Linked DNA regions of Saccharomyces cerevisiae S288C. Each later gene encodes a partner of the first gene's protein in a complex. Each region holds a gene or a part of one and is shown in the gene's direction. Other genes may lie near its edges. The genes, in order: TAE1 and RPS25A.

Region 1 (3,252 bases):
TGAATTCTGGAGACATCGCTTGCTTTAATGCCACTGCCATTGCACCGATAGTATGGTTGTGAGGACCACCTTGATGTCCTGGGAAAACTGAGAAGTTGATTTTCTTTTCTAACTCATATGGGATTTCCTTGCCCTTTTTGGTGACAGACTTGATACCCTTTCTGAAGAAAATCATAGCACCTCTTGGGCCTCTCAAGGACTTGTGAGTGGTTGTGGTAACTATATCGGAATGTTCAAATGGAGATGGGACAACATTGGCTGCCACCAAACCGGATATGTGTGCCATATCACTCATCAAATATGCGCCGCATCCTTGGGAAATTTCCTTGAATCTAGCGTAGTCTATTAATCTCGAGTACGCGGAAGTACCGGCCACGATCACCTTTGGTCTGAATGCCTTGGCCAATACTTGCAAGTTATCGTAATCGATTAGCCCCGTAGTGTGGTCGACATGGTATGGCATACTTTGGAAGTATTTGGAAATGAAAGAAATTGGCGTTCCTGACTTAAGTTGGTACCCGTGAGACAAGTGACCACCATCTGGCAAATCCAATCCCATTAATCTTTCACCAACGTTCATGATAGCGGAGTAAACATACAAATTGGCAGGTGCCCCGCTTAATGGTTGAACATTAACTCCCCACTTGGCAGGGTCTAATCCGTACAGTTCCAGAGCTCTTGCTTGACACAAGGATTCGGACTTATCGATGATTTCGTTACCTCCGTAGTATCTTTCACCTGGATAACCTTCAGAATACTTGTTTTGGAGCTCAGAACCTAGCAAATCCATAACGGCCTTCGAGGTGAAGTTTTCTGATGGGATAAGGGTGATAGAGTGTTTTTGTCTGTGACGTTCTTGTTGCAAGATGTCAAACATCTCTGGATCTCCCTCCGAGACTGGTTTGGAGACTAGCGATTGTGCACCACTGGTGAGTAGCCCACGACGATGAACAGTTGCCATACATTTGGCCAATGCAGAAGCTCTGGGAAACATGATTGAAAGACTATGAGACTCGATGTGGAAATGTCGGCTTGATGATTTTTGATAGTTTGCTCTTCTCCAAGAGGCGATGGCTTTTAGTATTTTTTTTCTCATTGACCACCAATAAGCGAAGTACCTAAAAAAAAATAATGAGTCTTTTTTATATTCTATCTCTTGGACAGAAGGGGGACAGAACAGACAGTGGACTAAGAACCAGCAGATAACGGAGAGAATCATGTCGAAATTGGGTCCGTTAGCAAGATCTGTGAAGTGGACTCTCTCTGTGGGAGTAATCGGTTCTGTTTTTTACCTGTACCGATACAGTAACAATGGCTACTTCTACGATCACGATGCTACATGGTTGAAACAAGATCATCAGGTACAGGACCTGGTGGATAGAAAAGAAGTGGTACCTGGGGAGACCAGGAACCGCAAGCTAGTTGTGACGGATGATGGCACTGCATGGAGCAGGACCATGGGGGAGAGCATAAAAGATATTTGGAATGAACAGATAAGAAACTCTGTCGATTGGATCTACTCCTGGGGTAAGAATTAGCGAGCTTTCTATTTCTCCTACTGTAACGAACATCCTCATGTATATAACCTATTGTAACGACTCTGTGTAGAACTTTATATTCAGAAAAAATATCAAAAGAAAAATTTAATTATTAATCAGTACTTTTCACTCTGGTAATGTGCATCGGTGTCAAGAGCATCTCCAAGAAAGAATACATAAACAACAACGATGGACGTGCCTGCAGATTCCCATATCAAATACGAAGATGCCATCGACTATTGGACGGATGTGGACGCCACTGTGGATGGTGTTCTAGGTGGATACGGAGAAGGTACAGTAGTACCCACAATGGATGTCCTGGGATCCAATAACTTCCTGCGTAAACTGAAGTCGAGGATGCTGCCTCAGGAGAACAACGTGAAGTACGCTGTAGACATTGGTGCGGGGATTGGACGTGTAAGCAAGACCATGCTTCACAAGCACGCCGCTAAGATAGACCTTGTAGAACCGGTAAAGCCTTTTATCGAGCAAATGCACGTTGAATTGGCTGAGCTGAAAGACAAAGGCCAAATTGGACAAATATATGAAGTAGGGATGCAGGACTGGACCCCCGATGCCGGCAAGTACTGGCTGATCTGGTGCCAATGGTGCGTGGGACACCTGCCAGATGCAGAACTCGTCGCATTCCTGAAAAGATGTATTGTTGGTTTGCAACCTAATGGGACAATCGTGGTCAAAGAAAATAACACACCTACAGATACCGATGATTTCGACGAAACGGATTCTTCGGTCACAAGGTCAGATGCTAAGTTCAGGCAAATCTTCGAAGAAGCTGGCCTAAAGCTCATCGCCAGTGAAAGACAACGTGGCTTACCAAGAGAATTGTACCCAGTGAGGATGTACGCACTCAAGCCCATGCCAAACTAGGATCAAGGATGCATAGATTTATATAGATACGCCCCTTTTCTTGTGCTGGCATTCACCATTTGTGCCATTATATAGACTTTTTTTTCGATATATATGGAAAAAGAACCCAGAAAATAAAGAATGTGAACAAAATAGTATGTAAAGTAAAAACATACAATCTCGGAAGATTAAAAGAGAAGTGATATAGACAAGATGGAAGAGACTGCGAAGAAACCAGCTAGTGCCACAGTAAGTGCGAAGTCGTCGCACGATGGTGGCACCGACGATTTGGCGCACCTTTTTAGCACGCCAGAGATCAAGAAGGTGCTAAATTCCGATGTGGCAATTAACGCTTTGTTGAGCCGTTTAAAGCAGTCGTTGTTGACTTGTGAAGAGTTTATGAAATTTATTAGAAAGAAATACGCCTTCGAAGAAGAGCACGTTCAGGAGCTCTCCAAGCAATATAAGCACTTTTTCAACATTCAGGGTTCCACAAATTCATCCTTAAAAAAGATGATTCACGAAGTTTTGGGATTCGATGGCAAGATGGCTCAAGTAAAGCAGAGTTATATCACCGCCTTGCAGAAAATGTACTCCGAGATTAGTAGTCTTTTATTAACAATGACAAAATTAAGAAAGTCTGTCAAGGAGAACAGCAAAAGGCTGGAAAAGGATGTTTCTGATGCCATACACAGCGCAGAAAAGGCGCAATCTCGTTACAATTCGTTGTGCCAAGATTGGGACAAATTGAGGATGACTGACCCAACAAAAACAAAGCTGACCTTGAGAGGTTCCAAAACTACGAAGGAACAAGAAGAAGAATTGTTAAGAAAAATCGATAACGCCG
Region 2 (2,972 bases), on another chromosome or scaffold:
AGGCGTTCCAACTGATGATGGATACTGCGGAAACTGTGATTGTGGCCCAGGTGGAAAGTACATAGGCGACATTTGATAAGGTGTATACGGAATCATAGATGGGTGTCCGTAAAATGACCAACCAGATGGATTGGCTTGGTTTTGGGTCATCATGCACTGCTGTGGGTACGGCCCATTCTGTGGTGAATGTGACTGAGCAGTTTGAGGAGAGGCATGATGGGGGTTCTCTGGAACAGCTGATGAAGCAGGTGTTGTTGTCTGTTGAGAGTTAGCCTTAGTGGAAGCCTTCTCACATTCTTCTGTTTTGGAAGCTGAAACGTCTAACGGATCTTGATTTGTGTGGACTTCCTTAGAAGTAACCGAAGCACAGGCGCTACCATGAGAAATATGTGAATGTTGAGATAATTGTTGGGATTCCATTGTTGATAAAGGCTATAATATTAGGTATACAGAATATACTAGAAGTTCTCCTCGAGGATATAGGAATCCTCAAAATGGAATCTATATTTCTACATACTAATATTACGATTATTCCTCATTCCGTTTTATATGTTTATATTCATTGATCCTATTACATTATCAATCCTTGCGTTTCAGCTTCCTCTAACTTCGATGACAGCTTCTCATAACTTATGTCATCATCTTAACACCGTATATGATAATATATTGATAATATAACTATTAGTTGATAGACGATAGTGGATTTTTATTCCAACAGAGAAAAAGTCATCAGATTCAATGGAAGCTGAAGCACTAGGATTAATAATGTTATGGAATTATGAACTACAACATAGAAAACAGTAAAAGAAAATAAAAATAACGTAATATTAGAAATACCGATTCCCTTATGAGGATTACTATATCGTCGAGTAGAGTATCTAGTGTATTTTGTATACCTAATTACAGCTTTGCAAGGAATTCCAAAAATTACCTTTGAAAAATGGGGGAATGTTGAGATAATTGTTGGGATTCCATTGTTGATAAAGGCTATAATATTAGGTATACAGAATATACTAGAAGTTCTCCTCAAGGATATAGGAATCCTCAAAATGGAATCTATATTTCTACATACTAATATTACGATTATTCCTCATTCCGTTTTATATGTTTCATTATCCTATTACATTATCAATCCTTGCACTTCAGCTTCCTCTAACTTCGATGACAGCTTCTCATAACTTATGTCATCATCTTAACACCGTATATGATAATATATTGATAATATAACTATTAGTTGATAGACGATAGTGGATTTTTATTCCAACAACCTTGATATCTAAATATCCACAAGAATTAAACTAAAACAAGCCGATATATCACTCCAAATACTTTATTAAGGTGGTTGATTGAGCTAAATAGTTCTTGCCTCTTCAGTTCAATATAATGAATAGTACTTTGTACACTGAGTGGATTCTAGCCCGCTCAAAATAATATAAAGCAAAATTCTATATTTTATATATGCATCCGTGCATTTGTGTAACCCATTCACCCATAAAGAGGTTCATTTACCCTGTAACGCGCGAAGACAAAAAAACGAAGGACGCCTTCTACAGGAAGAATTGTGCGACAGAACAACTTCACGAAGTATCTCTTAAAGTTCACGAAGCATTTAATACTATTAAGATTGCTCAGTTGAATATTGAAATCGTATTCTTTGTTATCGAAAACCGTCAAGCCCTGTTAGTTTTAGTGTATGTATCTATAAATTTGAAACCAATATTAGGCGGATAAGATGAAATAGTGACTGGCCAATCCAGGATTTAATATGTCATAAAAGCCTGTTCTACCTTAATGGGATGAATATCCATGTCTCTGTTATATGCTCCATAGCACAGATCTAGCTACCCATGGTACTTTGAGAGAAGGAAACTACGTACTTAGTGGTGATTTACAGTTAAATTCAATCTACAATTCAAGTCATTAGCAAATAGTCTTTATCCCAAATTCTACTAGAGTTCGGTTTTTTACTAACAAGTATGTTTTTACTTTTTACTTTATCATAGAACATTTAATAAATCATGCCTCCAAAGCAACAATTATCTAAAGCTGCCAAAGCCGCTGCTGCCCTTGCTGGTGGTAAGAAGTCTAAGAAGAAGTGGTCCAAAAAGTCCATGAAAGACAGAGCTCAACACGCTGTCATTTTAGACCAAGAGAAGTACGACAGAATCTTGAAGGAAGTTCCAACTTACAGATACGTTTCTGTCTCTGTTTTGGTCGACAGATTAAAGATTGGTGGTTCTTTAGCTAGAATTGCTTTGAGACACTTGGAAAAGGAAGGTATCATCAAGCCAATCTCCAAGCACTCCAAGCAAGCTATCTACACCAGAGCTACTGCTTCTGAATAAACAGGGAACGGGTTATATAATTTTAAATAATCTGTATTTTCAATAATATTTTTATGTATGTTTATTTGCACGTCACGTTTGTGTTATGGAAGACATCATTCAGGAAGTGATACATACAATAGTCTAAAAAAAAAAGGAACATTAACGGCTGAAAAGTCAGAAATGAGGTATAAAACGGTATTTAAGAGAATTGATTAAATTGTATGTATGCCGTCCATTTCTGTACGAGCGTTAGTGGCCAAAAAAGGTAAGAGGAGAGGAAAATAAGTAAACGAACATGACATCTGGTCATCTTAAGTTAGAGAATTTCTTACGCGTATCTGGCAACTTCTTCTGTTCTCTTTTCGTGCTCCTTCATTTTCATATAAATAAAGTTCTTTATAACCTGCCATTTGTCTCTATATTTTTTGGGGACGTATTTTTCAAACTTGACAAGTAACTCCAAAACAGCCACTTGTGCGTATGGAGAGAAGTTCAACCTCAACCAATAAATACCAACATAAATGACGAGCATAAATCCGGATGTACCCGTCTTAAACAATATAGTGTCTAGTGTTAGCGCTAAGATAACAAGTAATTCAGAGTACGCAAGTAAGTGTAGCATTTTTCTGTCTTTGGGTGTTAAAG

The links.
Region 2: the proteins of TAE1 (region 1) and RPS25A are in contact, whole or in part, in a crystal structure (PDB 7D8D), measured with the Saccharomyces cerevisiae proteins. Residues at the interface, in NP_009820.1 of Saccharomyces cerevisiae: Trp18 (codon at 1,779), Val28 (codon at 1,809), Leu29 (codon at 1,812), Gly30 (codon at 1,815), Tyr32 (codon at 1,821), Val38 (codon at 1,839), Trp140 (codon at 2,145), Asn172 (codon at 2,241), Pro175 (codon at 2,250), Asp180 (codon at 2,265), Asp182 (codon at 2,271), Asp185 (codon at 2,280), Ser187 (codon at 2,286), Glu218 (codon at 2,379), Leu219 (codon at 2,382), Tyr220 (codon at 2,385), Pro221 (codon at 2,388); in NP_011541.1 of Saccharomyces cerevisiae: Pro2 (codon at 2,022), Pro3 (codon at 2,025), Lys4 (codon at 2,028), Gln5 (codon at 2,031), Gln6 (codon at 2,034), Leu7 (codon at 2,037).

The regions. Positions count from the first base shown.
Region 1 is NC_001134.8:734,006-737,257, reverse strand, and holds TAE1 (N-terminal protein methyltransferase), read left to right. Parts: upstream 1-1,727; coding exon 1,728-2,426; downstream 2,427-3,252. Other genes in the region: glycine hydroxymethyltransferase SHM1, read right to left, coding at 1-994; MIC12 (Mic12p), read left to right, coding at 1,218-1,538; GTPase-activating protein RGD1, read left to right, coding at 2,619-3,252. UniProt on the Saccharomyces cerevisiae protein: Alpha-N-methyltransferase that methylates the N-terminus of target proteins containing the N-terminal motif [Ala/Pro/Ser]-Pro-Lys when the initiator Met is cleaved.
Region 2 is NC_001139.9:533,505-536,476, reverse strand, and holds RPS25A (40S ribosomal protein eS25 RPS25A), read left to right. Parts: upstream 1-2,018; coding exon 2,019-2,345; downstream 2,346-2,972. Other genes in the region: YGR027W-A (gag protein), read right to left, coding at 1-420; YGR026W (uncharacterized protein), read right to left, coding at 2,656-2,972. UniProt on the Saccharomyces cerevisiae protein: Component of the ribosome, a large ribonucleoprotein complex responsible for the synthesis of proteins in the cell.